3 linked regions of the Coturnix japonica genome follow. The protein of the gene in region 3 interacts with the protein of the main gene of each other region in a biochemical or structural test. Links are inferred from orthologs where the notes say so. Each region holds a gene or a part of one and is shown on either strand. Other genes may lie near its edges.

Region 1 (9,876 bases), on a different chromosome or scaffold from region 3:
GCTGAAAGGGAGCTCCTGCTGCCCCTGGAGCAAGGGGGACCCCAGCAATCACTCACGATCGGGCTGGCATTGATGAAGTCGCTGCGGGACGGGTTGCTCTCGGCTTTCAGCTTGATCCTCACGTGGTCATCTGGGGAATAGGAGTGCAGGGGAGGCAGTGAGCACTGGGGGCAGCACTCCATACCGCACCTCCAACACCCCCTTGCCCCGCACCGCAGCCCCGGGATGCTCACAGGGCACGTAATCTGGGTTGCGGTTCTTCTTCAGATTGGCTTCGCTTTGGGCGACAGAGCAGACACTGGGCTCAGCCTGGTAGGCACAGAGAGCCTGCCACTCCTTGGCCAGCCGGTCCCTGTTGCGGAGGTGGTCCTCCATGTACGCCTGGGATGCAGAGAGAGGGGTCAGCCCGGCACTGGGGGGAGCCTTGTGGGCTCCATCCCACCAGGGGGACTCACCAGGATCATGTGGCCGGTGGAGATGTCCATGTTGGATTGCACCGGCTCCTCACACCAGGACGATGTGCTGCTGTGTGAGCTGGGGCTGGGCTGTGGGGCATCGCTGAACTGTGACGAGACGCTGCTCACTCGCGACGTCTCTGCTGGTGCTGCAGGGGCCTCGGCGCGGCCAAAGAGCGACTTGGTGGCCATGTGCTGGCGGCACAGCTCCTGGGGACGGCGAGCAGAGCCCCAGCCCTCAGCCACAGGGCCCTCCTGTACTCACAGCGGTGCGGTTGCAGCATCACACATCCCTACCTGGTACTCCAAGGTGGTGTCGGCGGCCCCCTCGGGCCCCAGGGCGGCCAGGCGCTCCTTCTCTCGCTGCTTGGCGTGCTGCCGGAGGCAGAAGGCTGCGGCGGCTGCGATGGAGACACCAGCCACACAGGCCAGAGCGATGAAGGTGAGCAGCACCGAGTGGAAGCCATCCCGAATGTGAGAGGGGCGTGGGTACACAGCCGCCTCGTTCCGCTGCAGGCAGAGCCAAGCAAGGGTTGGAGTGAGGCATCCGCACAGGGAGGGGTGCAGGGACAGAACCCATCCCACACTGCTTTTGGGGATGTGGGGGCTAAAGCAGTGGGAGGATGCTTGGAGCTGTGCCACTCCTCAGCTCAGTGGGGGCAGAGCTGGTGTCCCTGCATGGGGCACTTGTACCTATACTTAGCACAGCTCACAGCTCTGCCCCTTGGGGTGCAGGAGGTGCACAGCTTGGACAAGCTCAAGCAGCAGCCACCTGTTGCTCCCAGTACTAGGGACTGCCTCCCAGCCCTGCTAGACCGCAGGGCAGGTGGGGGCCCTCAGAGCCTGGGCTCAGTGAGCCCCTGCCTGACCCAACCCAAGAGCTTGAACCCCAGGCCCTCCTTGGCCTTTCAGCCCCTATGCTAGACCAGGAGGGTGCTGAGCCCTCGCTGAATGAGACCAAGACCCCCAAGGCCGAGCCCCCCAAGGTCCTTCCTGAGATCCAAGGGTGGAGAGGATGCTCGGGCAGCCCCACCACCAAATCCTCTGCACCCAATGAGATGCCAAAGCCCTGCATTACCTCACTGCCTCGGCTTCCCATTGGCCACGGGCCTGATGAGGTTACCGAGGGGACGCTGCGTCACTGTTATCATCATCATCATCATCGCCTACGAAGCCTGGGGATGCCCCTGCTGTCTGCACCTATTGCTGGGGCAGTGCCAGGCCTAGCGCTTGCTGTCCCCTGCCCTGGGGGTGTTCAGCACAAGGACCTCATCCCTCAGTGCAAACAACTCCCTTTGGGGGGCCCTGCTCATTAGGGAAGCACTGCCAGAGCTGCAGACCCCATCCCTCCTGAATCCTTGTCACATCTAAAGGCACTGCCGTCATGGCACTGTGCATGGGGCTGATGGAGATCAGTTGCCTCGGCAGCCTTCCTCCCAAGGGGTCTCCAGGGCAGGAGGGTGGGAATAGGGACCCTGGTCCAGGGGTTCGCTGTGCCCTTCCTCAGCTGCAAACACAGGCTCTGTCCCTATCCCTATCCCCCATGGGATGGCTCCTGTGGCCCCAGGGGAGTGAGGCTCTCTCCCAGCAGATGGCTGCTGCTCCATCCCTGCCTCCAGCTGCCGTGTTGTTCCCTGCAGGGACGATGGCATTTTCCCTGCCTAGTCCCCAGGGTGCTCAGCACAGGGCTGGCGTGCCCAGGGAATAAATAAAGACTGGAGGGAAGCGAGGCTGGGGATGAGCCAAGTCCTGGATGGAGGGGGAACGTCCTCCCAAAATGCCTTCAGACCCCATGGGTTTGTGTTTTACTAAGAGCTAAGTGCCCCAAACCCACAAGCAGCATCATGCTGTGGAGTGTGAACAGAATGCTCCCAACATAAAGCCCCCATCAGAGCCTCATGTGGGGCCATCAGTGGCCCCAGCACCATCTGTAGCCCCCGCAGCTCCCAGTTCCCTGCAGCCCCATCCCAGCCTTAAGCCCCCATGCTCTGGTCCTACCTCTCCCACTCCCGTCTGCACAATCTTCAGGCCCAGCTCAGCCTCCAGCTCTGCCTTCATTTGGCCTGTGGATGGGGACAGACAGTCAGTGGGATGCTTCCCCTTGGCCAAGGAAACTCCAGGAGTCTGAGAACACCCCAACAGCTGCCCACCATGCCCCAGGTCCCCAGCTCAGCCAACAGCACTAGGGCGTATGGTAGGAGCCCTCTCTTCCTGAGACCCACACCCCCCTTTCAGCCCCTGGAGAAGAGGGGAAACAGGTGTGTAGGAGAAGGGATCCCCAACCCAGCACTCACCAGCCCGGCTGGCCACATCTGCCAGCGAGAGGTTCTGGGCATTGTGCCGCACACGGAAGGTGAGCGCAGGCCCCACGACACTGTGGGGGACACAGGGTGAGAGCAGGGCACAGAGCCCATCCCACCCCCAGGCAGCACTGTGTTGCTCTCACCTGATGTTGATGAAGCTGGTGGTAGAAAGGTGCACACGCTTGGCCAGGAGCTCCAGCAGTCGCACACCAGCAGCCAGCCCCAGCGGCCTGCAGGGAACAAGGCAGGGTGAGGGGGGCACGTGGCTCCAGTGCTGGGGATGGGGTCTGCACAGTGCCCCGGCCCCACTCTCACTTCTGGTCTGTGATGATGTAGCCATACTCATCGGGTGGCCGCGTGCCCCGCTGCGCCCCACCGCCGTCCTTCGCCTCTGTGTAGCTCTTCTTCTCCACTGCCATCATCTCATCCCCTCCATGCCCCCTCTGTGGCTGGGCCTGGGGGGCTGGCAAGGTGGCTGCCTGGCCCCCCAGCCCCTGTGCTGGGGCACTGCTGGCTGTGACCCTGGGAGGTGGCACCGCGGAGGAGGGAGGCACTGGCTCCTCTCCATGCTGCATGTCCCCCTCTGACACCTATAGAGGGGAGACAGGGAGGAGCTGGGACCCTCAGGAAGTCACCTTGGGAGGCTACACCCTCTTCCCCCCCACACACACAGCCCACCTGTGGCCCAGCAGCTCCCTGCTGAACACTGAGCCGCTTTGCTGTGGGTGCTTCAGGGCTGGCAGCACCTGGGAAAGAGAAGGATGGGGATCCCAAAGGAGGGCAAGCACCCCGCACCCTCTATCCAAGCACTGTGGGACCCTGCATCCTGCTCACCGGAGCTCTGCAGAAGCTGCAGAAGGGCAGAGACACTGCTGAGCTGCTGGGGACTGAGCTCGGGCAGTCCCAGCCCATAGCTAGCCAGCAGGGAGGCCAGTCTCTTCAGGGAGGCATCTGCAAGGGGATGCGGCATTTGGTGAGAGCTCTGCACCCAAGTGGTGCCGTGGGTTGGGGGTTTGGGCAATGGGGGGCAAATGGGACAGAGAGCTCCAGGCCCAAGGGATGTGTACCTGTCTGTGCAGGGGATGGCCAGGCAGCCATGGGTGCTGCCTGATCCCGCTGCCCCACATCCTTGTAGTCACCTGGGAGCCGTGCACTGTGCAGAGTCCTGGTGCTGGCTGGGTCCATGCGAACAGCTTTCTCCCTGGGCAGTGCAAGCAGGCCCAGATCCTGGAAGAGGTGCCCACCTTCTGCCCCTGGCTGCCCACTGTAGGAGGGCATGGGGCCAGCCCCATACAGCCCACGGACCAGCAGTGAAGCGGCATCGGGGCCCTGCCTGGCCGAGCCACCTGGGAGCTGGTGCGTGGTGTCCTGGTAGCCAAACTGCAAGCAAACCACAGCCTTGGGTCAGCACCCACTGCACACCCCAGCACAGGGAGAAGGGGTTGCGAGAGGATCCTCACCCTGCTGTGTACCTTGTGGTAGGAGTAGGGGTGCAGCAGGGCCTCCTCGTAACCCAGCTGGGGCGGCGGGGGCAGCAGCAGGTGCTCCAGGTAGCGCTGAGCCAGGCCCGAGGGCAGCAGTGGTGGGGGCTGCCCCAGGTGCTGGGCTGCAGGCAGGCCAGGGGCCAAGGGCTGTGGGGTGCGCCGGGGGGAGCTGCGCAGAGGCAGGGACCTTGGGACAAGCAGTGAGGGATGGCACGTGGGCTCAGCTCCCAGCCCTGCTGTGCCTCCCACCCCACCCTGCCCTACCTGTCCCTTGGCGAGGGTTCCAGCGAGGGCGGTGGGCGGAGGCGGGGGATGCGCTCCATCTCCTGTGAGATTACGTACTGTGTGATGCCGTCCTGCCACGAAAGCCCTGCGGTGGAAGGGTGCCATGAGATGGGGAGCTACCTTGAGCTTCAGGTCATCCCTGTCCCTCCCAGAGCCAGCTTAGTCCCTCCTCGCCTCAGCCCGGTTCCCAACCAGCGGTACCCCAAATATCCCTGGTCTCCATGGTGTCTCTGTGCAATGCTACCCAACCCATGGCCATGCCTCCCCAGCCCTCACCTTGTGCCATGAGGTGCCACAGGACATCCTGTAGGCGCTGCAGCACAGGGGAGGTGACCTGAAAGTGCGGTCTGTCCTGCACTGAGCCCACCTGGCACTGCCCGAACAGCCCATCTGCAAGAGAGAGGGGCGGTGGGGAAATGGGACTGGGTGGTAAAGCCCCACCTGCCTCCTGCCCCACACAAGGATAGAGCAGGACCAGGGACTCTTCTGTAGGCACTCACCCTGCACACACACCTCCTGCGGGGAGCACAGCCTCCGGTCAAACAGACAGCCTGGGGCAGACAGACAGACAGACCCAGCACAGTCAGCAAGGGGAGCTCAGTGTTGTTTGCTCATCACTAGCAGGGCAGCCACCTGCTTGGGGCCCCAGCTCCACAGGGAAGTGGCAGTGGAGGAGCCCAGGGTAGGGCCTCAGCACAGCCTGTTCCTGGCTCTGGGAAGGGGGGGAGCCTGGAGCTTTGTGGGGTGCTGGCAGCGGGGAAGGGGCAGCGAGCTGCGGGATCGTTTCTCACCCTCCTACATGTGGCACTACGAGAGGAGGGCACGGCCCTGCACCTTGCGGTATGGGGGGACCTGCTCTCCCAGCACGGGGTGCCCCAAGGCACGGTGTGATGAGGCCCCCACCCCTTTTTGGGGGGCTGCATCCCCCTTCCTCCCCCCGCATCTCGGTCCAAGACCGTCAGCAGCGAGACGGCAGCAAGCGATGACTCAGCCCCGGATGGCGAGGAAGGAACGAGAAAACAACCGGGGGGAGGGGAGGGAGGGGCCCGCCGAGCCCGCGCCGGGGCAAGTGGGGAGGGGGTCCCCAAAAGGCCGGTACCCGCTGGGTGCCCAGCGCCTGCTCCCCGGGTGGGAGCGGAACGAGGCGCGGGGCGCAGGGAAGCGCGGGCGGCACCGGGGGGCTCCGGGCCGGGGGCGCCGGGACCGGGCGGCGGACCGGGCGCTGTCCGTGGTGCTGAAACGACGGAGCCGCGTTCCGCCGGGCAGCCCCGCTCCGCGCCGGGGAGGAACCCCGGGCCGGGCAGGGCTCGGCCGCAGCCGCTCCCTGGGATGGCAGAACCGCGCGGGGCCGCCCCGGGGAGCGGGGAGCGATCTGCCCATACTCAGCCGGGTGGCTGCGAGGGTCCGTTGCCTGGGAGCGGATGGACGGAGCGGCAACTGCCCACCGGCAGTGAGTCAGCGGCCGCCGAGCCCTTGCGGGGGGGCTCCAGCCCTGCTGCCGGTAAGGGCCCCCGGTACCCCCAGAGCTCCGGGAAAGGAGACGCGGGCCGAGCTGAAGCGCTCAGACAGCGTACCAGCCCGCTCGGGGGTCCCGGGCAGCGCCTACCGGAGGAGGGCGGCTAAAGGGCACCGGGGTCCTGCAGGAAGCCACCGCGCGGGGACGCTGCCCCGCTCCCCGTTCTCGTTGCCATATCCCGGAGCCGGGCCCCGCAGCGCCCGCCAGGCTGGGTGTCCGGAGGAGCATCGCCCCGCTCCCGTTCCGTCCTGCCGGACGCCGCAAGTCCGCAGTCAGGGAGCGCCCTGGGGATCCCGTTCACCGGCCCAGCAGCCCGGGCAGAGGCGCTCCCGGTGCGGGTGATGCACGGCGCCGCTCTGCCGTTACCGGGGCCGGACCCGCCGCGTCGTGACGGCACCGCGGCTCCCGTCCCCCGCCGTCCGGCATCCCTTTGCCCCACCCGATAGCCTCATGAACGCCGGCCGGGCGGTGCCGCCGCCCACTCCCGGAGCCCCCCGCTCTCACCGTGCGCGGCGGTGGCGCCTCCGACCCTTATCAGCCCGCGGCCGGCCACGAGGAGGAGGCAGAGGAGCGCCCGGAGCAGCCGCCGCCCCATGCTCCGCTCACGGCCGCACCATGGCGCACACACCGGCCGCGCCCCCGCCGCCGCCGCCGCCAACCCGCGCCCCGCCGCCAGCACCGCCCACCGCCACCGCCCCTCCAATAGCGCCCACCCCGCCGCACCACGCCCCCCGCGATGATCGCCCCCCGTGTTAGGCCGGCACAGCACAGCGGGGCTGGAACGGAGCTCCCCGGCTGTGATGGTGGGAGCACTGAGCCTATAGCAGAGGCACAAGGCCATCCTTCATTACAACACTCACAGCAGCTCCCGGAGCCGCAGCTGTTCCTCCCCATCCCCAGCTGGACACACAACCACTCCCAGTTGAGACAGAGATGCTTTAATCAGGATTGAACCCCATAACCTTCCTCTCATCGCGCTCAGTCGACCACCAGGCTGCTGCTGACCACCGGCAGGAGCTCAAAGAAGCCCTGAAGGGAGAAAGGCCATCAGGGCACGGGGAGCAGCTCCCTGCTGGGTGATGTGTAGCAAGCAGCTGCACGGAGCAGGGCTGCATCACCATAGAAACCCAGCAGTGACTCAAGGCAAGTTACCATAGGAACCATTTGGGGATGGCAGGCAGCAGGGAAGGCTGGAACGGATGGCGGAGAGGCAAGGAGCACCTCTGGTACTGCTGCACTGCCCCGGTGCAGTGGGGAGCCCTCCCAATAGGGCTGAAGGGGAGCAGAGGGGATTTGGGGCTTACCTTGAAGAGAGTGATGCTCTGCAGCACGCCCGAGGTGCAGCACATCTCTCGGATGGAGTGCATGGCCAACTGCGGGCAGCCGATGTCCAGCACGCGCAGCCCCAGGCGGGAGGCCAGAATGGGGCCGATGGTGGTGCCACATGGGGTGTCATTGCGCACCATGAACTCCTGCATAGTGGAGACATGGGGTGGGCAGCTGCTCCCAGAGCCACACGGCCTCCCAAGTGACTCCCAGAAGGGTTAGTCCTAATGGGAGACACACTGGGATGGGGGAGCTGCACAGTCTGGATGCTAAGATGCTAAAGCCCCCAGAGAGCTTCAGACAGGTCAGGTCAGACCCGCACTCCCTGCTATACCCTGAGCTTGCTCATCAGGTCACCTGGCACAGCAGGGCACTGCAGACACCAGCAGGCATAAGTACAGTAGCAGAGAGTTAAGTTCCTGATACTGGTCCTGCCCTCCAGCACCCGGCTTCAGCAGGAACTGGTGATGGAGCTGTGCTCACCCAGCTGTGCTCACCTGCAGGGGAACACCCACACGGGCCGCGATGTCCCGGATGACTGCCTCAGTGACAGCTGTGGAGGCGTAGCGCTGATTGCTGTTCACTTTGATGACAGGGCCCTGCGAAAGAGAAGATGCAGAGCTATGGCACAGGGACACACTCTATTACTTACATAGTTCTAAGTGCCCAGTGCCCAGGAGAGACCCACAGTCAGAAATGCTGTGCCACCCCCTGGATCCTACAAGTGAACAGCCCCAGCTCTAAGCCAAGGGAGATGTCCACAGATAGGGCTGTGGTTCTATGTAATTAACTCCAGCAATGTGGCACAAGTGCATTGTGTGGCAGGACAAAGGTCTCCTGTGAAACTGCTGCCAAGTTGCACTCTGGGCAGTGTCTGTGTGTTTCACTGCTGAACAGACAGATGGCAGCAGGTCTGGCACAAAGCAGAAGGCTGCGCTCACCTTGTGGAAGGCTGGCCGATGATTTTCCTCATGCTTGTCCCTGCAAAAGAGAAGGAGTTTCATGCTGCAATCCCCATTACAAGAACTGTCCTGCCACTACGCCAGCAGGAGTGCAAAAGATGCGTCCCCACGTGCAACGTGGCAGGGTTCAGAGTACTCACACGTAGTTAGGGTGCACCGCATGGGCCATGTCAGCACTGATCATGTAGGACTTGGCCACAGCCTCCTCAAAGGCTGTCAGGTTTTGTGGTGATGCTGAGATTCGACGCAGCACCAGCTCTGTCAGAAGGGACTCGGCACCCTGCGCACTCTCTGACCCTACCTGCCAGGAAGACCATCAGCACAACCCACCCAGCAACACCCCAGCCACCTCCAGCGCTCCATGTCAGCTGAGGGATAGCAAGCTCCCCACACCCAGCAAAGAGGCTTCCAACTCACTCCCTGCCAGGCCCAGGGTGGGGTGAGCAAACCCTATGGTGCTCCATGGGTGGCTGGGATGTAAGTCCTAATCATTGGTGGAAGGAGAACAGAACACAGAGCCCCTGTGTGTGCCAGCTGCCCCACGGCTATGCCCCTCACCTCCTCGTTGTCATAGAGTGCAATGAGGCGCACGTTGGGCTCCTGGGAGAGGGAGGGAGCTGTGCACGAGTCAATCAGTGCCTGGAGAGACAGAGGAGGAGAAGGAGCACTAGCGTAAGTGCCACCCCATCCTAGGAAGCTCAGCACTGAACTGGCTGGAACATCCCCAGGAAAGTCTAAGGCACCAAGGAAAGGAGCTGTGGGTACATTGGAGATGCTAGGAATGCCACACACCCAGCACAAGGGGGCAGCCACTGTCCAACCCCAGGCCCTTTGACGAGCAAGGATCCCTGCAACAGGACCCAGCTAACAGACCAGCAAAGCTAAGTCAAGACACAAGAGGGCCATGACAAAGCCCCAAGGCTCCTTCCTTCCTTCTCTCACCTGCAGAGCACAGTAGCAGCTGTGCAAGTTGTCCAGACGTGGGGAGAAGATGAACTCATCAAAGGCACCACCAAGAGTCTGCAGTCAAAGAACAAGGAGTAGGGCACAGGTTTGGGGACAACAAAGAGCAGGTGTGATGTGTCTCCAGCCCAGTCCCCACCTCTGCCCCCTAGAAGGCATTTCCTTTCAGTCGGTTCAGCTCCCAGCCCTGCATGCCCCAGGCAGAGGAAGCGTGCTGTGCATGGGAGCTGGGCAGTGCCAGCCTGCAGGCATGTTGCATACAGGTAGAAGGAGGCTCTGTTGTACTCACCGCTGGCTGCGTATCCGCCAGGCATAATTCCAGCTCCACAATCTGCTCTGGTTTCACTCCCAGCTGGGAGCAGAGCAGGGAAAGCAGGACAGGGCTGTGTCTCTCTGTCTGGGAAAACAGCAGAGCTGTGGGCAGTGCAAAGTGATGGATGGCAGAGAAACTTTCCCATTCCTTCCTCACACTGCAGTCCTAGGCTTCCTGTCTACTCACATACTCTGCATCTGAGCACTCAACCCACAAAGGGCAGCAGTGGTGCTCACAGGGCATAGTGAGGGGCTCTCTCCCATTGTTCA
Region 2 (9,323 bases), on a different chromosome or scaffold from region 3:
GGAGTCAGGTCTGTGCCATCACACTGGAGGCAAACACAGGGGCACTTAGGTTGCCATAAGGAAGGAGTCTGGCCCACCCTAGCTATCCAGGGTGAAATAGCCCCCCCCTCTGCTCCTCAAAGTGACCATCCTCCAAGACAAGGGAAGGTGATGTCCCAAGGAACGCACCCTCTCCCCCAGCCCTAAGACACTCACTGTGCTTAGAGCAGCTGCTCCCCATTCCCTACACAGTTTGCCCCCCTCCCTGGCCCAGAGCACTGCTGCACACTCACAACCAACTTGACGTGCTTCGCTAAATCTTTGGAGCTCCCTGTGAGGAAGTCGGAGAAAGCCGTCTGTCAAGGCAAGAGACAGAGTTAGTGCCCAGACACTCACTGAAGTGGGTATCCAGGAAGCCTGCCACCCACCTTCAAACCCCAGCTGCTGAGAAGAGTAAACCCTCTCCCCGTTGACTGGCAGAAGCCCTCTTCTCTCACCCTCCCAAAACAACCTGATGCATTCCTCTTGCCAGTTTGCCTACCAAAAACCTTGGGACACCTCACAGCTTCAGTAACACACCCAAGCATTCCTTGCCAGCTCAGTCCCTGTTTCAGGGAAGGTGGGTTTTCTCTACTGAGACACTTGGGTTACGGGAGACAATTTCAGTTTCAAGCATAACACTGATATGACTATTTAGAGATAACAGGATAGGGGAGATAGGTGGGAGATGTGAGATGGTGCAGAGCAGCACTTGGCCTTCAGTACTGATAAAATACCAGTCACCCCACCACTCGGGTAGGAAGGTATACTGTGGGTGAGGGGACAGACAAATAGTTAAGACAATAAGATGCAAAGCTCTGGAAGGCATAATTAGCCAGGGAGCTGCAAATGGCTCAAGGTTTAAAAAAATAAAAGACCAAAGTAGCCTGAGGACTCTATAGAATGGCTTCCCCCTTCCCTGCGGGAGGGCCAGCCTTCCTGAGAACAATAGTGGCAGGAGATCAAGGGAGCAACTGTACCACAGGCCAGAGAGGAAGCTGCAGCACCAGCAGTGTCTGCAGCCAGGCAGAGCTGCAGCTCCCAGTGCTGCAAACCTTCTCCAGCACCTCTCCAGCTTCAGGGACAGGGCTCAGCTTAGGTGTATACAAAAGCCACAGTAATTCAGAGGAGTGAAATGAGGTAATGGACAGGAGCTGGGGCCATGCCTATGTTCCAGCTGAATCCACATGGGCATGCCTAGATATCCTCATGCACTCACCCCAGCATAGAACATTTTATTCCGAAACCGACTGTTGAACTTCTCTGGATTGGCCTCTAAGGAAAGGAGAAAAAATATCCAAGTCATTGGCCTGAACATGTAAATATTTTCCTCGCTTGCTCTCCCCAAACATCGCTCTCCAGCCAGCCTTGGCCAGGACAGTTCCCAGCTCACTGCCATTGCACACATCCCTCTTTCCCTCAACAATTCCTCTCATCCCTCTGATTTCACCTCTGTTCTGGTATCAGTTCTCTTGTCTACTTTTCTGAGGAGCATTTATGATGTGTCTCAGAGGTGTCCCTGACTGCAGACACACTGCAGCCCTGCTGCACCCTGATGCCACGTACCTCTGGATTCATGAAATTCCAGCGTCACCCGCGCGTCAAAACCAAGGCTAAAGTAGTTATTAAAGACATCCAAGGGAAGCTGAAATGGAAGAGAGGAACAAGGTTGGAAATCCTCATGCTGGCAGAATGAGGCTGCCAGTGTGTGGCCACTGCAAAGACAAGGCAGTCATGCACTGTGCTCACGAGGGTGAGTGGGAACTAGCCGTCCCTCCAGGACATCATAGAGGTGACCAGTCTGAGGTGGTGGGCCAGCTCTTTTCTGCTGTTCTGTCCTCAGTGGCCTCATGGCATTGGACAGGCCTCAAGGCAGGACAGGCAGTGTCCAGGCACAGGAGTTGCATGGGCTTATGGCAGCACCCAGCCCACCCACTGCCCTGCATAAGAGTAGCAGACACTCCTGTGGAACAGGGAACAAAGGCAGAGAGGAGATGTTTCACCTTGTCAGCAGCTGCCTCATCCTTTTCCTCAGGGTTTGCTTCAGGATTTGCTTCCACATGGAGGTTCCAGCGATCAAGCTGCACAATGTTCCCATCTTCCACATGTGACAAGATCTTGGACAGAGGCTCATCTGTGTAACCCTAGTGAAGAAGAGAACCCGGTGAGTTTTCTATCTGCCTCCCAGGGGTGTCTCAGAGACAGTGGACTGTGGAAAACATCTCAGAGGAAAGTATGTGAAAAAGAGTTTCTACTTGAATGCACAACATCCAAACGGGACTTTACATTTAAAAACAATGCATCTTCATTCTAGAAATCTCCCAAACGTTTGAAAAAAATTATTGCCTTTATTAATGTTCTAATATATTATAATCTAATTCAGAATAATTTGAATGTCAGAAGAACAGTAATGTCCAAAAGGCACTTATTATTTTTTGGTCTGCATTTAGGAAAAGTTGGTGCAGATGCACCAGACGAAGTACTCTGTCCAGCTCCAGCCCTGGCCATGGTTGGCTCTTCTGCCTGTCACTTACCCCACCCCAGTTCAGAGTCCTGGCCAAGTCATTGCCTGTCCCCAACGGCAGGATGGCCACAGGAGGAGGTGGGTTGAGGCGCAGCTGGTCTAGAATGGAGAGTATCCAGCCCACCTGTGAAAGAGAGTGAAGAGGAATAGTTGGTTATTTCAGAGAACAAGAAGCAGGTGAAGGTGATGTGGAGCACTAGCCATAGCCAAAGAGGCAGAGACAGGATTCCCTTGCTACTACAGAGACTATTCACATTCTTTAATACTTCATATGGGTGCAGCAGGAGATACAAGCAGCCCCAACGGGGACACTGTCCCCCTGAATGGGCCACAAATGCAGACACTCCACACAGCTAGACCACCTGGGACCTGTGCATGAGGGGATCTACAGCAGCCAGTGCTACCAGCTGTATCACAGACACAATGTGTATGTTTTTGCCTTGTTCTGAACTACAGTGAGAAGGGCTGCCAAAAAGGTATTGCAAAGGGTAGTGTGGGTGTGAAGAGGCTGGGGGACTCACCGTGCCATCTCCCCCACATGCCAGGATCCGTAGGTTGTGGACCTTGCGGTACAACTCCAGCCTGTGGAAAGCAAGAAAAGTGAGGAGGGGAGGGCACAGACACTGAGACTGCAGCCAGGAAAAGGTGTTACTGCAGGAGTAAACTGAAATACAGCAAACAGTACTCACGCCTCCTTGGGACCGCCCTGGCTGAGGTCGAAAACTTGCCGTGGGTTGAGATACCACATGAAGGACTGGATGATCTTGGCTCCCTAGGGGGATAAGAAAGATTTCAGGTAACAAGCAGTGAACAGTGGGAAGAAAGCCTGGTGACAAGTCAATACAGAGGTGTTCTGGGATACTCAGGCAAAGTCTGGGTTAAGAGGGCAGCACTGGAAGCAAACAGACAGCAAAGGTTTCTTTTCCCTTTTGCAGCTGACACATTACCAAAACTGTTCTGAGCTCTCAGTAGCCAATGGCAAAGAGCTGCCTTCTCAGGAAGATGAAGGGCAAGGCCATACCTGATTCCCACCACTCTTGGGGTTCACAAACACCAGCAACGGCTTCATGAGAGGAGCTGGCATGGGTTTGATGACAAAAGGTTTCCACCTCCCTTCCTGCAAGAAACACCGCAGGTCCATTAACAGACTTAGTGAAATGCAAACTCCTACCTCCAGCTGAGCCCTAACATCACATAGGTTAGGAGTGGAAGGAAGAGAATATCCTCACCACTCCATAAACCTAATAGCTAAGATATGCCTTGCCAGCAAACATAACTCACCTCCCAGCCTTTCTCATCTCTGTGACACCCTCTGAGATCTTCAGACACTCCCAAAACACTCTTTGTCCCAGACCCCTTTTCCTCTACCTTATACCTCAGTGCAGACCCTGAAAAGAGCCCTTATTTCCCAGTTCTGCTCCTCACTGTCCAGCACCTCTACCTTTCCAACACAAGGTCACCCCCAGCCCCTCTTATCTCTTACCTCAGCACCCTTTTTGCTCAATTTTCTCTTGAATGATGTCCTCTTCTTTTTCTTACTGGATTTCATTGGATTCTGAAAAAAAAAAAACGAAACCCAAACACTATAGAGGAACTGCTGGGTAAACAGGAGCCATGCAAAAACACATGAACTGATATGCCTTACCTGGGGCCGTCGGACCCGCAAAATCCAGGTGGGAGGAACGACGACAGCAGCATGAGCCCCTAGTGAGCAGGGCTCTTCGATGTGTTGCAGCATGAAACAGGACACTTTGCTGTGATACTGGAGAAGCAGAGAGACAGAGAAAACTCAGCCTACTCCATTTCTCCTTCCAGCTGCCCTGTGCCAGTGAAAGGAGAGCTGCAGGAAATGATGCAGGAGTTTTGTAATGGAAAGGCTTCTCCTAGGAGGCACTAAGAAAGCTTCCCATAGCAGCTCCCAGCTATGTTGGTAAGAGTAGCTGTAGTGGCAGGCTGCAGAGGATAAGCCTGGGGGTTCCCAGCAAAAAGCAGAGGTCATTAGAGCAGATATTCAATGGGGCTTTGCTCACCGCTTGCTTGCACCAAGAACAGCTGATGGCTACAATCTCCTTACTGTGGAAGGCAAACTTCTGCTGGAAACCCTGCAGAGAGAAGGATAAGAGGCTTAGGGAATTCCCTTACAGCTTTTCACCGTCCAGAAGGGCTTTCCAAGATACATAAACAAAGAGAACATGCCTGCAGCTGCAGCCCTCTAGATCCCTGTCAGATAACCCCAACCACCACACTACAGCACCAGGGAGGTTGCTGTGCTCTTTGCAGGAGCATCTATATTGCCTAGGAATAGTGAGTCGGGAGGAATGGTGAGTCCCCTCTAGGACTGATGGGGCCCAGGGGGAGAACAACTTTGTACGAGTAGCACTTATGTAGTGCTTCACTGTGTGAAACAGGCCATGAGTCTTGGTTTAGCTATAGGCTGCTCCTACCTAGCAGGAATAGCGTTATGTTAGGCAGGAATTCTTTTACTTCCCAGTCCTGCTATTGCCCCTTGTTTGATCTTAGCTCCCCTTCAGGCTGAGGAAAAACACACCAAGAAGCCTCTCACCTTGCCACACTGCCGGCATTTCCCTTCCTGTCGCCTCCGATGCACCCAGTGATGCCGGACAACTATGGGCTAAAGGGAAAATATAAAGAAAAAAAAAGTGAAAGTCCCAATGCATACAAAGACACAGGAACAGGCAAGAGAAACAGACACAGGCCAGCCAGAACCTCTGCTCTTGCAGTAAGCCTGCTGCCCATCTGCACCAGCACCTAACCTCTAAGAAGGCAAAGCCAAAGAACTTAGGGGCACAAGACCAAATTGTGGTGCTCACAAAAGAGGAAATTAAATCAAAACAAGATAAAACAAAGAACCAAATCAGAAAGGAAGCATCAGAAATTGAAGATAGAATCACAGAAAGCGAACAACAGAGTGGGTAAGCAGTAGACTATAACGTTACTCTGGCCATAAATCACATCTTTATCTCTTAATATCTCTGACCAGATGACATGAAGTGAAGGGTAGAAAAGATGCCAGTGCAAAGTGAAAATCCCCAGTGAGACACAGTTTCTGCACACAGCAAGATGATGGGAGTGCCTGCAGCCAAGTCAACTGCCTGCTCCTAGCAACAGTATTTTTCAAGGAAAGAAGTAGCCCCAAAGCCCCCATGCCTTCTCCCCGAATAAAATCCTGCTGACCTGCTGTAAGGAGAGGAACAGAATTGCTCATGGGTACCTTCTCCCTGCCCACAGCCTCACTGATGGTAGAAGAACGGATACCTTACAGTGTAGTCTTTGAGTATTGTAGGGGGACTGACCCAGGCAGCCAAAATTCTGGAAGAATGCTTTTCTATGTTAATGGGAGGCCCCTAGGTAAACTGAGGAGTATTGGAAAGAGGCTGGAGGATGAGCTACAAAGGCTGGCAGGTGCTTCGCCAGTGCAGCTCAGCAGAGAGGTCCCAGGTCTCAGCTTGCACCCACTACATTACAGCGCAGACAAAACAGGTCTAACAGCACCACCATGGGCACCTTCCATCGCTGTATGGAGCACCCGTAGCATCCAGGGCAAAGCTGAGCAATAAAGCAAGAAATGAGCCTGCACTGCCCCCTGCCAATCCATGGGAAACTTGGGGAACTGCTGCTTGCCACAGCCTCCTCTATTGACTTGGACATCAGCAAAGGAAAGGTCCTTTGCCCCTCTCAGGAAAACCTGTTTGCATGTTCCTCCCATGCAGATACAGGAGCTAGATAACATGCAAAGCAGCAGATGCTTTGTCTTTTGCTTGCAGTCTCCTCTCTTCTTACACTCAGACTGTACTGCTGCTTGGCAAGGAAGTATTCTTTACTGCACCTCCCCTCTGGAGCCAGAAGGCAGAGCAATGCCAGCACTTTGACAGGCAGCACGCTGGCAGCAGTTGATCCCTTTGCAACCAAACTGTAAAGGCAACAGCTCAGCCATAGGCAGCATCCAAGGCTCATGTCTCACCTCCCGTACGTTCCGAGATCCTGACTCCCTGAAGGAAGGTTTGCAGCGGAAATTTATCTGTGGATTGAATACATATGATAGGAATCAGTAAAATCACCACCAAGAGGAAACCTACTGGAGTTTATTTTACTATAGCAGAACCTCTGGCAATGTTCAGTGCTTGACTGCAAAACCCACCACCTCTGTCGCCACACAAAATGGGTCCAGGGGTCCCAGTTGAGTAATTAGCGCTCCTTTTGGTACTGTCTCCTCATAGGACCCCTCCTTCCAGCAACACATTTCAGTTTCCAACCCTCCTATGCTACCCCAGAGAGATGAATGGCCAGTATCAGACTGTCAGAGCTTTGCAAGCCACAGAGAGGGCTTAACAGGTTTTACTCACTTTCTCCAGCTGTTCTATGCAGGGTGTATGCACTATGATCTTGCATGCTGCACACTTACGCCTGGAGAGAGGTTTTTGCTGGAGGATGAGAAAATGGGAGGAAAAACATGCATGTGAACAGCAGGGTAAGGAGGCCAGAAACTCAACCACTTCTCACACTTCCTTCATACATTTCAGGATGTAAAAATCAAGTACAGGAGTTTCATACAATCTAGACACCTCGCCAGTTACAGGATCTAAGTATGTGCCTAGAGCAGATGCTCCTGAGTCTGCAGCACAACAGGGAAGTGCTCTCCCACTGACAAAGCAGTCCTTGGCTCTTCTGACACTGCCAGAGAACAACATAGGACATTGTTTGGGAAGCATGTTCGTGGTCTGGCCCAGAGCTTTGGCTCATCCAGAGGCACTATGAGGCTAGGGGGCAGGCACACGGTAGCATCAGTGCTGCACATCCAGCACCATGAGCAGGATTGAGTCTGCAAGCAGGGAGAGAGAAGTGCAGCTATGCTGCTGCAAGGCCTGTTGGGGCTCCAGTACAGCATGCAGGGACAGGAGACAGCAGACCTGGATCTCCACTCATTCTTCCCCTCTGTTGTAAGTTTTTTCCAGAGAAGCTGAATTCAGATTCTTCCGCTAAGCATGTGTGATCCCAACAACCTCTCCCTGCAGTGACCTGCAGCTGCATGCAGCCCTGCACTGGGCACCTGCTGCAAACTGAATGGCAGCACTGGCAGACACTGGGCATGCAGCGCTGCAGCACACAGAGACGGAGGAACACGTCTTGCCAGCCCCCCAGTTCTCCCAGCACCAGGGCCTTCTGGGTCTCTCCGCTGGGTGGCAGCACAGCACGCAGCTGAGGAGCACGCAGGGGATGCGGCTGACCCCAGGCGACTTACCAGCAGCTTGGCCATGCAGTTCTGCTCCCCGACATAGCAGAAATCCCCAGAGACATTGGTCTCAAACCAGATGTGCTCCCCATAGACTGCAGTCTCCTGAAAGACACAAGACAACGTGCTCCTCTGAGCATCCTCAAATGATCACCCTGTCCCAAACTGCTTTGTGCCAGGGACAAGTTATGGTGGCACAGTGAAGGCCATAGAAGTGTCAAAGCCGAAGTCACTTTGGAAGCCCGCTGCATCCTGGCCAGGAGCCTGTCCCACACAACGCCCAGCAACACACACCACCACTTACGCTCCAGTCCACAGTGCTGCGTATCTGCCTCTCTGACTCGTTCCTCAGCGCTAGTGCAGGGTTTGGCTGGGCTACCATGTGCTGGAGGCTGGACTTGGCAATAGCTTTCCTGGAAAACATGGGAAGGCCAGCTGTTAGATCAGGAGAGGAAGAATGGCGTGTCAAAGCCCACCGGGCTGTCAGGTAAAAGCCCCGGGGTGCTTCCCCAGAATGTTGTGGAGCCTGAAGAAGCCTTCCCTGGTACACATAGCCCTGCCCATCCCTCCCTGCCCACCACATCCCCCCTTCCCAAAGCATTGCCTCCTGCGCACCGCCATACATACAGCAGCCTGGGGCTCCAGCCGTCGGGGCAGCAGGCTGATTCTGGTCCCAAGCACTCGGGGAGGGCAGCCCCTGTGCACTGCTGGGCCAGCCACTGCGTGTGAGTGGTGGCCAGCAGTCCAGGCCAGAGGACATTGCTGGAGCGGCGGCGCTGGCTGAGGCGACGGTAGCGGCCCGGCAGGCCATGGGGAGCCCGGCTGCAGCCAACGTCAGTGGGCAGGCAGTGGGAGGATGTGCGGCGCAGGCAGCGAGGGCCCCGTGTCAGCAGCCTGACCTGCAGCGGCCGCAGCCGTGGCAATACGCTCAGCCAGCTCTCCTCGGCCCACCACCTGCCCCGATCCAACCTGCCATCGCCATCCTCTGCAGACCAGGAGCTGGAGGCATCCCCGGCACCCTCCTGCCCGGTGGGGAGGAGGCCGGCCAGCAGCACGGAGGGCCCCAGCAGTGTGGCACTGATGGCTGGCGGGCAGCCCCCGCGCTGCTGCACGGCAAAGCGGGGGCTGAGGCACGGCGGTGTGGTGCTGGAGCGACGGCGGGGACCACGGCGGCGGGGCAGGGGCAAACAGGACAGGGCTGGCAGCGGGGCCCCCGAGCCACGACGGCGCTGGGCCAGTGAAGCGGAGGGCAGCCCAGCCTGGGAGCGGCGGCGGGCCTTGCCCGTGGGCACTGCCAGCACACTGGCACGACGTGGGCCTGGCAGCCCCTTCTTCCCAAAGTGCCTCTTAAAAAACGTTTCCATTGTGCCTGGCGGTGGGGCGCTGGCTGTTGACACAGAAAGCAGGAGTTAAATAGGCTGCCCACAGATCTGTGGGGCTGGCGATGGCCCCACGTCTGCAAAGCAGGCAGAACAGCTGAGCTGAGAGCTGGGTGCTATGGTGTTGGGTCCAGTCCCTGAGACCCACTGG
Region 3 (10,031 bases):
TGGCGTGCAGGAAGTACTCCACGCCGTGCTGGTACAGCCGCAGCGCCTCCTCGTAGTTCTTGGCCTTGTCCTCCTCGGTGGCTTTGGTCACCAGGTCGATCGCTTTCTAAGGGGGGACGCGGCGCCCTGAGCCCGGCCCGGCCCCGCCCCGCTCGGCCTGTCCGGGCCCACCCATGGCGGCCCGGCGGGGCGGTTGGCGGCCGGTGCCGGTGGGCGGTGCCGGTACCTGCAGGGTGGTCGTTGTCATCTCATCGCCCGGTGGCGGCCGCAGCCGCAGCGACCCGACCCGGCCCGGCGGCGGCGGCGGGGGCCCGCGGGACCGGCCCGACTGCGGCTGTGCGCGGCCGACACGGCGCCCCCTGGCGGCGCCCTCCGGTACTGCAGGGGGCGGGCGGGGCCTACGTTGGACGGCACGCGCATGCGCACAGCGCGCTCCGCGAGTCGGTGTGAGCGTGGCGTGGGTCGGTGCGCGGGGCTGCACCGGGAGCAGCGGGATGTGAACGGCCGAGATCGCGGCTCTGCGCCAACACGGCGCTGTGTGGGCTCACAGTGCACACACACCTCACAGACTGCGGGGGTACATACACATATATGTGTGTGTGTGTGTGTGTGTGTGTGTGTGCGCTACCTGCTGCTCTGCTCACTGTATGCAATGCAGAGCTGCTGTCTGTGCACAGCCCGAACTGCGTGTGCAACGTGTGTGCACACGTACGTATGTATATAGATGGATCCATGTATACAGGTGTGTCCATGTACACACACTGCGGACCATACACAGTGCAACCACAAAACAGCATATAAACAGCACACGTGTGTGTATTCCTGCAGGCATCTATGCAAAGACAGCATGAACAGTGAGTGTGTGTGCAGCATGTGTGTGTGTGTGTGTATGTGTGTGTATGTATGTGTATATGTGCAGCACAGACAGCACCCACAGCAAAAAAACAACCCACATACACACAGCACCCACCACCCACAGGGCCCACAGCCCATGGATCAATCACAGCCCATGGATCAATCACAGCCCATAGATCAATCACAGCCCATGGATCAATAACAGCCCATGGATCAATCACAGCCCATAGATCAATCACAGCCCATGGATCACAGCCCCCCACGGCCGCTCCCCGCAGTGCCGATCACAAACCCCACACATGACCAGTCTGTATAAATAGCGATTTACAAAGAGTACAAAAATAGAAGGGCTGTGCTGGGTGGGGACTCTGCAGCCCAGGCCCTCCCGGCACAGCCCGTGGGAAGCAGAAACGTTTGCAGAGGAGTTGGGCCGGGGCGCAGCGGATCCCCCAGCAGCACCATCCCCTGCCAGGGGCAGAGGTAAAGTACAAAAAGCAAAAGTGCATCGATCTACGTATCCCTCCCCAAAGCCACGAGGCCCAGAGGGGTCCCGCTGTGCCCCCAGCCCAGGAGGGAACAGCGCTCGTTTGCAGACTCTGAGAGCTTGGGGAGCACCCGCCCTGTGATCGCAGCACGGCAGGGACTGAGCCCCCTGCCCATACCGGCACCACAGCGCCAGGTCCCAGAGTGCCCCCAGTGCCCACATTTTTAAGACAAGTCTCCCAGGGGGGACAAATGATGCCCAACATGGTCCCACCTGGGGGAGGAACACGCAGTGAAGCCCCTGGGGGGAGCAGCGGCCCCGCCGCAAGGCACAGGTGGTGAGATCAGAGATGGCTTTTGGGGACGGGGGATAACGCTGAGCTCCCCCTGAGCCACAGAAGAGGAGCCCCCACCCCAAGGCACCGGAGAGGCAGGCAGCGGTGGGGGCTCCATGTTTCCCCGGCTGCTTTGTGTTGTGGAGGCAGCTGGGGGGGGCAGGGCCGTCACCTACACCAGCAGCCCCATGCGGGTGACTTTGGCCGAGAGGAAGGTGTGCAGCACGAAGACGATGGGCTTGGGGCAGGAGTGCAGGTCCAGCGCCTGTGGAGGGAAAGGGAGAACGTTGTCACAGCGTGGGGGCAGCCCGAGTCCTACGGCACGCCGGGATAGGGGTCCCTCCTCACCAGTTCCCCCTCTGGGCCTCCAAAGTCCAGATAGAGGGTCCTGATGCCGTCGTCCGCTGACAACTTCAGCTTTTCATAGGGGTAGCGGTACAGGACGCTGCCGCCCGCCTCATCGCGGCAGATGGTGAAGCCGCCCTCGTAGTGAATGCAGAGCTTCACCTCCTGGCCGCCCAGCGTGCAGCCTGCAGGAACAGGAACGGCTTTGGTTCTGCCCCCAGCACCTGGCTGCAGTCAGACCAGACACCCCAACACTTCCCCAAGCATTGGAGGAGGCACAGACGCCATCATGCAGCACACCACCATCATGCAGCACGCCACCATCATACAGCACACCACCATCATGCAGCACACCACCATCATACAGCACACCACCATCATGCAGCACACCACCATCATGCAGCACACCACCATCATGCAGCACGCCACCATCATGCAGCACACCACCATCACCGCTGGGGACTCCCTGTCCCACGGGCAGAGCCCCGGTGCTGCTGTGCACTCACCCACAGACACCTCCTTGATGAGCTCAGCAGCAGCATGGCAGCCCTGCACCAGCACCCGCGTCCAGCAGGACAGGTCCCGGTGAGTCTCCACACGGAAGACGTGCATCTCAATGCCCTGCCGTGAGCCCGTCCGTGTGGCGAAGGTCAGCTCGGAGCCCAGCGAGGGCGAGCGGCGGCCTGAGCCTGAATGCACCAACCTGGGGACGGGAGGGGGACATCGGTGCTGCATCCATCCCATGTGAGGGGTCAGCTCCTGCAGGAGTCCCCATCCCGGTACCTGGTGGCCACCAGCGGGTAGCTGTGGCACGGCGAGGCCCACGCATCGCGCGTCCAGGGCATGGCATCGTACAGCAGCAGATCCTTCTCCGTCACCGCCATCAGCACCGGCCGCCACTGCTGCCGCCCACCATCCAGCCGTGCCTGGATGAGGAGCTCAGTGACAGGGCAGCTCCAGCCGCCACCTCCCCAGCATCACGGTGCCACCCAGGGATGGCATCCCCCAATACACAGAGCACAGACCCGTACCTGCTCTGCCAGCCACGCGACGTGCTTCACCTCCCGGCCCCCGGCTGTGCCACCCAGTGCGGCGTTGAGCTCCGCCAGCACCTGCGGCAGCAGCGCCGTGATGTTGGCATGCAGTGCTGTGAACCAGGAGTGTGCGGTGGCCGTGTCCTTGCAGCGCAGGATCAGCGTGTTCCTGCTGTCTGGCGAGTGCAGCTCGATCAGCCTGTGGGGATACGGGGCGCTGGGACGGGGCCAGCCCGGCTGCAGGCGTGCTGCCAGCAATGGGGCCGGGATGGGGGCACAGAGACACGTGCCAAGCGCTTCCCGAACGCCGCCTGCTCACCGGTTCTCCAGGTCGGGCATGCTGAGGTTCCTTGCAGCAAAGCACATCTTCAGCGGGATGACCTTGCGGTCACGGGCGCCGTGGTGCTGGGGCGATCCCGAGTCCTCGCTGCCGCTCAGGCTGGGTGACTGCGGGGCAGCCCCTTCCCAGGGCAGGTCCGACACCAGCGACGGCTTCTTCATGTAGGGCGTCACCTCCCGCATGAACTTCACTGCGGACACAGGGGGTCGCTGTTAGGGTGGGGGGAAGAGGGGCCACGCGGGGTCACACCAGTGCCGACCCCTGCCGGGAACCAAAGGCCCACGGGGCCCACCCCGCTGCCATCGGGATGCGGGGATCGGAAGGGCTCGGCGGTGCGGCACAATGGTGCGGGCGGGAGGTCAGCCTGCAGCCCATCCTGCCCATCCTGCCCACCCAGCCGCACGCTGCGGCCAAGTTTCCAGCGCCGCAGGCGATCACGGCCCCGGGATGGTGCCTGCAGCCAGCACGTCCCGGCCCCGCGCTCCTCTCCGGGCTGGGAGGAAGGAAGGACGCATCACTCCGGGTCCCCGCGGACCATCCCTCCCCAAACACATGGTAGGCGCCAGGAAACCAAAATCCTTCACTCGCCGAGTGCCGTCCCGTCACCGCGCCGCTCCCCGCTGTCACGTTCAGGGACAGCCAACACAATGCGTTCCAGATGCTGGGAGCGCTGCGTGCCAGAGCACAGAGCGGGGGGTGACGCCGAGCAGCGGGCGGCCCAGCCAGAGAGCGGAGCCCCCTCAGCAGGGAGGGAACGGCCGCAGGGCAGCAGGGAATTAAAGCGAAAAAAAGCAGCGAGTAAGCGGTAATCTGCTGTGAAACAGCTGTGAAGCGCAGCTCCCCGCACGCAGGAGACGGTGAGAGGCCGTGGTGGGAGCTCCGCGGGGCGCCCGGTGCTGCTGAGCCGGCACACAGCTGGACGGGATGCGCTGCCCTTGCTGCGGGCACCAGGAGATAATATTAGCTCCCGCCGCGCTTATCCCCGGATTACTCCTTCCCCACGCACCTCTAATCCCCACGGGCAGGGCAGCGCCTGGGATGGATGGTTGTGGACGGGGGCTCCGCCGGCGGCAGCCCCTGAGGCGGCTCACAGCTGGCAGCCAGATGTTGGCAGCCTGCAGCTGGGGCTGGGGATGGAGAGCAGAGCGCTGGGGCTGCTGCTCCCTGCCCAGGAGTGAGCGCTGAGCCCTTTGTGCTCTGAGCCGTGCTGCTGGCAACCGGCAGCACAGGCAACCACATCCCTGAAACTCCCTGGGCAGGATTCTGAGCCCGAAGCGGGAGCTGCTGGATGAATCCTTCATGCCCACCTCCCATGGCTTGCACAGGGCACCCTGCAGTCCTTGGGGAACCCATACAGCACCAGATGTGCAACCAAAACGTTCCAAATGCTTGGGTGGGTGGTGCTGGTGCAGTCAACCTGGTGGTTTTCCTGCCCTTGCTGTGGCCAAGACAGTACAGACACTGCTGGGCTGTACAACCGTGGCCACTGCAGGAAACGTATCCCAGCACCGAACCACAGGCAGCAGCAGAGGCAGAACAGCTGGGAGATGCTGCTGGGGGCAGTGCTCCAGGCAGGGCATGGAGCTGCCGTACCGGTGTGGTGCAGCACAGGGGGCAGCGGCACATGCAGCTTCACCAGCTGAGCTGTGTCCCAGCACGGCTGTCATGGCACAGCACGCCTACACGCTCACCACAAAGGAAACCCAGCACTGCTGCACCCTCACAGCTCTCTGCAGGAAGGCCGCTGCACCCTGGGCTCACCCACAGGGCTCTCAGCAGAGCCCAGACCCCCATTCGCAGCCCAACATTACCAGCCCCCTCCCAAAAGCACCGGAGTGGTTTCCCCACCCATACGTGTGGGTTTCCTCTCACAGACCTCCTTCCTCTTTCCAAACTCCCTGCCCAGCACCGAGGTCCCTGTGGGCCCAGAGCTCAGCTCCCAGCTCCCACCCAGGACAGGGCAGGGCTCTGCTCCGCTGTGCTGATGGCGGCCAGCACAGCTGCCTGCAAGTGAAGCCCAGGGCTGGAGAGCAGGGACAGGGCTCAGCGTCAGCACTCCTGGCTGGCCGGGGACCCAACCCACATCCACGGGGCGATGCTGTCTGCCTCTGCGCGCTCTTCCCAGCCCCAAACTCGGCTCATCTCCTCCTCGTCCCCCGGTGCCCCGGACCCAGCGGGGGCAGCTGAGCCACACAAATCCGCACCCGCCCTCGCACCGGCACGCGGCCCCGGTGGACATCAGGACGGGACGCGGGGGTGGCAGCGCGCTGACACCGGTGGCACCGGCAGCGCCGCACCGGCAGGTCCCGCCCCAGGTTGCCGGGAACAGGTCGGGCAGGAGCCGGAGCTCGGCGGGCACCGAGTCCCGTGCGGAGCATCAGGGCGGGCACCGCGGGGAGCAGCGCCGGGCCCGGGGCACCGCTGCCAGCCCCGGGAGCACGGCAACAGGGAGCGGGCTCCGACACGGCCGGGTTGAGGGCAGCCCGGGGCGGGGAGCGGGACGGGGGTTGGGGGGGTGGGACGCGGGGCCGGTACCTTCCAGGATCACCTCCCTCCCGGCGCGTTTCAGCGCCTCCGCCGCCTGGTCGTGGGTGGCATCCCGCAGGTCGGTGCCGTTGACGGCCAGGATGGCATCGCCCAGCCTCAGCGCGCCGCTCCGCTCCGCCGCCAGCCCCGGGAAGATGCGGGAGATGAGCACGGGCATGCGGTTCTCGCGGCCGCCCTTGATGCTGATGCCGAGCCCGCCCGCCTCCGCCTTCACCACCCGCACCCTCCGCACGCAGCCGGGCACGGCCGCCTCCGCGCCGCCCCACTCTCCGCCGCCGTTGGCGACGCCGTTGAGCCCCGGGCCGGGTTCCCCGGGCTCGGCCGTGAGACTCAGCGCGTCCCCGCTCAGCTCGGCCGCCACCCGCACCCAGCGCTCCCGCAGCAGCAGCTCCAGCAGCCCCGCCTTGCACGCGCGCGTCCACACGGCCATGCCGACACCGCCGCGCCGCGCCGCCCCGACACGGGCCCCACCGCCAGGACACGCCCCCCGCCCGCATGGCGGGACGCCATTGGCTGCGCGCGGCGCGAGGGGCGGGGCGGGGGCGGCTTCCCGCGTTCCGATTGGACGGAGGGGGAGGCGGTGGCGGGACTCCATGGCGCGGGCGGGGGACGCGGGGCGGAGCTGAGCGCTGACGGTAAGGACGAGAACAGCGCGTTTATTGATGGAGCGGGGCTAAGTGCCGAACTTCTGCTGCTGCACCGGCGGGGGAAGCTCCGGGCAAATGTCCACGGCGGGACGCTCCACCGTCACCAGGCAGCGCTCGTCCAGGAGGTCCGCGAACAGCAGCGGCTGCGGGAACAACGGGTGAACACAACCGGGTGAGCACAACAGTGTGAGCACAACTGGGTGAGCACAACCAACGGGGTGAGCACAACCAACGGGGTGAGCACCGGGAACACGGGGAGCCCGGCCCGGGGCGGTGCTCAGGGCGCCCCCAAGGATGAGCTGCACACATTGGCACAGCTGCCCACCTGGAACTTCTTGCAGATCTTGAAGGCGTGGAGCTGCCGGCGCCGGGCGGGCTCTGAGAGCTGCTTCAGGGTGCTCTGGTTGGACAGCATGGTCTTGTTGTCGGGCAGGGGCTGCGGGCACAGCTGCTGTCAGTGCTGCTGTCAGTGCTGCTGTCAGTGCTGCAGCTCTGCACTAAGCCCCGCACACCCCCTGCAGTGCTGCACACCCCCTGCCCTTCCCTTTGTGCCCACACGAGCAGCCCCTGCAGAGCACGCTCCAGTGGGGCCCTTCTCGGCTCACCAGGGATTTATCGAGGACACACAGCATGTAGACGTCGTGCAGCAGGACCTGCGACGCGTTCTTGGGGTTGAAGGCGATGTGGATGATGGGGGAGTCCCTCTCCAGCCACAGCCTGTGCAGCCCGCTGTTCTGCACCGCGCGGCTCCAGGCCGTGTATTGCTTCTCGGGGATGCTGAACTCAAAAAGCTGCGGAGGAAAAAAAGATGGGTCCCCATCATCAGCCCAATGGCAGCACACAGCCGGTCCCAAGCAGCACAGGGCTGCTGAGGGCACAGCTCCCACCTGCTGGTCCGAATAGGAGATAAAAAGGTTGTTGGTGGTTGGGTGGATGGCGAGGGCTGTCACTGCGCAGCTGTAGGTGGGCACTGTGCAGTGGTGCTGAAAGGCAGAAGGACAACGCTGCCCCACGTGCCCTCTGACACCCACCAGGTCCTCCCCCAGTGCCCATGGGACACCACGGGGGGCCCCACACAGAGCCCTGCCTGTACCTTGAAGTGTTTCAGGCTGTAGATGTGCACCTCCCAGTCCCCGCTGACCGCTGCCAGCCAGTTCCCATCAGCGCTCGATGCCAGCAGGTAGACAGCTTCCCGGGTCCCTGAACAACACCACACACAAATGCTACACAGACACAAGAAACTCTTCAACCACTCCAAAGTGTCCCAGACCGAGGGCAGCAGCCTCAGCCATGTGCCCACAGGGGCCCCAGGGCTCCCCACCTGCAGGCGGGCGCAGCGTGTGCAGGTGTTTGCAGCCCCCCGGTTCCAGCAGCTGCAGCACATGGACAGAGCCTCTGTCGGAGGCGATGAAGAGCCTTCCTGAGTCGGAAGCACACTGCAGCTGGTAGGCTGGGAGCAGCAGCTTGGGCACACCAGGGACCTTGCAGGGGGAGAAGGCAACACCGGCGGTCACGCTGCTGCTGACCCACACACTGTGCCACTAACAGCCCCCAGCTCCCTGTGAGCCTCCCCAGCCTCCACCTTCTTGACGCTGACGCTGTCGCCCTCATGCTGCACGTGGTAGAGGTGGAAGCGAGAGGCAGTGCTGTAGGCAATCCAGCTGCCGCAGGGTGAGACGCAGCTGCAGTAGATGTGCTCGGGACCCTGGGGATGTAGAGGTGCTGAATGGGGTCTGCAGAACCTCCTGGCACCTGCAGTTTGGCCATCAGAGGAAGCAGAGGTGCCAAGCACAAGTGCCAGCCCCAGTTCAGCCTTACCTTGCTCTTGAGCTGCAGGAGGTGCTCTGGCATCCGGCTCACGGGAAGGACCTCTCCATCCTTTCCTGGGATGACAACTAAGCATCAGCAACAACAGAAACCATGCAGACCCCAGTAAGAAAGACAGGAAACCCAGGGAGAGTGGTACCAGACACCAGGATGGATCCAGACCCTTCCCCAGCCATCTTGAGGCTGAGCTCCCCAGGGCACCATCCAGCTCAGCAGGAAGAGTACATTGCCAGTAGCACCATGGCTGTGCACTGTGTAACACACCGTGCACTGGGTAACACAACCATAAGCAGAGTAGGGCTGCACCACTCCTCTGCTGCTCTGGCACACTGCACCCTGTAGTCCTCCAGACACTGCCCTGGGGTTAAATACAGAGGTCTGTACCCAACAGCCACCCGCAGACGTACCAGTTTTATTAGTAGAGCCAAGTCTCCAGAGCTCCAGGTGCTGGGAGAACTGGAAGAGGAGGAGCCGGGCTTTCCTGGCACAGGAGACGAGGCGTCGCTGTGGGCAGAAATGGGCACGTTGTCATGGACCACAGCCTGGGAGAAACAACCTGGGCTGCTGGTGAGAAACAACTTAGGTTCTGTGGGATGAGAACCAGGAGAGGGAGCCGCAGCAGGACCAGCAGGACAGGCTCATCAACTCAGTTCCACTCTCCATTTCACTGCATTACAGGAACCCGCAGGCATGCCAGGGCCAGTGGGGCAGGCAGGGCCTGGCTGCTCCCTCAGAGCTCACCTTGTGCCCCCAGGAGCCGCCACAGGACCCTGCTTAGAGCCATACTCACGTGGGGAAGGGTGAACTTCCGCAGCACTGCATCGTAGCTCTTCTTCTGCACCTTCTCCATGAGCGGGCGGATCACCAGCTGGGCGTCCAGGCCTGGAAACCAAGCAGAGCTCAGACAAGCAGCTATTGGAGGGGGGGGACACCACCCGCTGAGCTCCCCCTCACAGCCCGCACCTCCAGAGATGAGAGCTGTCGGGGTGTGCACCACAGCTCGCACGTCGTGGGTGTGATGTTGGAACGGCTTCGTCCTCACCCAGCGCTTCTCCTGGCTGCCTGCCTTCACCGGCAGCAGCTGGATCTGGTAGGTGGACCCCGCCGAGGTGCCCACCATGATGCTGTCCTCTTTCTGGAGAAAGAGAGGGCTGTGGCGACCAGGGCACAGTGCTGGATGCCACCTGGGTGCTGGCACCGCCGTCCTGGCCCAGGGTGACCTCACCTCCGACACAGCCAGCGAGAGGGCAGCTGAGGTGTTGACAGTGTGGGAGTCCTGCAGCGTCCCTCGCTCCCAGTCCCAGAACTGCACCCTCCCAAATGAGTCCGAGCTGACGACGGTGCCACTGGCCAGGAAGGCGATGCTCCACACCACGCACTCGCGCTTCTTGGACTTCGGCACGTGATGGTTCACCATGATCCTCTGGGCGGTTCGGCCTGAGGTAGGGAAGGGTTGTTCAAGATGGAGAGCGAGTGGGATGACCTCAGGCTCCTCACTTCATCCTTTCCCTGTGCCCTGTGCACCGCAGGACTCCCAGGCTGGGAGCTGTGTTGGTGCCAAGCAGGAGTCCCAAAGCACAGAGCTGTGGCTGCTGACAGCGCCCCGGCACAGGGGACA

Evidence for each region.
Region 1: the proteins of SNTB2 (region 3) and PTPRN form a complex in vitro, tested with the Homo sapiens proteins (2 studies listed by BioGRID and IntAct). The link is inferred for Coturnix japonica from reciprocal best matches to the Homo sapiens genes SNTB2 and PTPRN.
Region 2: the proteins of SNTB2 (region 3) and DGKZ form a complex in vitro, tested with the Homo sapiens proteins (2 studies listed by BioGRID and IntAct, with this or other methods). The link is inferred for Coturnix japonica from reciprocal best matches to the Homo sapiens genes SNTB2 and DGKZ.

Annotation. Positions count from the first base shown.
Region 1 is NC_029522.1:24,535,018-24,544,893, forward strand, and holds the start of PTPRN (receptor-type tyrosine-protein phosphatase-like N), read right to left. Parts: upstream 6,696-9,876; 5' UTR 6,639-6,695; coding exon 6,548-6,638; intron 5,079-6,547; coding exon 5,028-5,078; intron 4,918-5,027; coding exon 4,804-4,917; intron 4,613-4,803; coding exon 4,507-4,612; intron 4,430-4,506; coding exon 4,231-4,429; coding exon of another isoform or gene 4,219-4,230; intron 4,139-4,218; coding exon 3,826-4,138; intron 3,710-3,825; coding exon 3,593-3,709; intron 3,505-3,592; coding exon 3,437-3,504; intron 3,349-3,436; coding exon 3,074-3,348; intron 2,989-3,073; coding exon 2,902-2,988; intron 2,830-2,901; coding exon 2,750-2,829; intron 2,519-2,749; coding exon 2,454-2,518; intron 966-2,453; coding exon 753-965; intron 666-752; coding exon 456-665; intron 382-455; coding exon 234-381; intron 131-233; coding exon 57-130; intron 1-56. Other genes in the region: DNPEP (aspartyl aminopeptidase), read right to left, coding at 7,022-7,072, 7,348-7,515, 7,867-7,968, 8,311-8,350, 8,472-8,632, 8,890-8,970, 9,274-9,351, 9,584-9,691. UniProt on the Homo sapiens protein: Plays a role in vesicle-mediated secretory processes. Required for normal accumulation of secretory vesicles in hippocampus, pituitary and pancreatic islets.
Region 2 is NC_029520.1:21,137,185-21,146,507, forward strand, and holds part of DGKZ (diacylglycerol kinase zeta), read right to left. Parts: 5' UTR 9,158-9,323; coding exon 8,421-9,157; intron 8,207-8,420; coding exon 8,098-8,206; intron 7,899-8,097; coding exon 7,803-7,898; intron 6,985-7,802; coding exon 6,907-6,984; intron 6,582-6,906; coding exon 6,525-6,581; intron 5,175-6,524; coding exon 5,106-5,174; intron 4,645-5,105; coding exon 4,573-4,644; intron 4,305-4,572; coding exon 4,026-4,304; intron 3,660-4,025; coding exon 3,564-3,659; intron 3,315-3,563; coding exon 3,232-3,314; intron 3,125-3,231; coding exon 3,064-3,124; intron 2,667-3,063; coding exon 2,553-2,666; intron 2,163-2,552; coding exon 2,022-2,162; intron 1,664-2,021; coding exon 1,585-1,663; intron 1,294-1,584; coding exon 1,238-1,293; intron 336-1,237; coding exon 273-335; intron 24-272; coding exon 1-23. UniProt on the Homo sapiens protein: Diacylglycerol kinase that converts diacylglycerol/DAG into phosphatidic acid/phosphatidate/PA and regulates the respective levels of these two bioactive lipids.
Region 3 is NC_029526.1:16,870,015-16,880,045, reverse strand, and holds SNTB2 (beta-2-syntrophin), read right to left. Parts: upstream 6,556-10,031; 5' UTR 6,535-6,555; coding exon 5,928-6,534; intron 4,089-5,927; exon of another isoform or gene 4,083-4,088; intron 3,583-4,082; coding exon 3,372-3,582; intron 3,252-3,371; coding exon 3,050-3,251; intron 2,945-3,049; coding exon 2,802-2,944; intron 2,722-2,801; coding exon 2,525-2,721; intron 2,204-2,524; coding exon 2,022-2,203; intron 1,939-2,021; coding exon 1,846-1,938; 3' UTR 1,163-1,845; downstream 1-1,162. Other genes in the region: VPS4A (vacuolar protein sorting-associated protein 4A), read right to left, coding at 1-106, 227-247; UTP4 (U3 small nucleolar RNA-associated protein 4 homolog), read right to left, coding at 6,613-6,729, 6,912-7,022, 7,192-7,377, 7,474-7,569, 7,680-7,786, 7,908-8,067, 8,169-8,291, 8,405-8,469 and 4 more. UniProt on the Homo sapiens protein: Adapter protein that binds to and probably organizes the subcellular localization of a variety of membrane proteins. May link various receptors to the actin cytoskeleton and the dystrophin glycoprotein complex.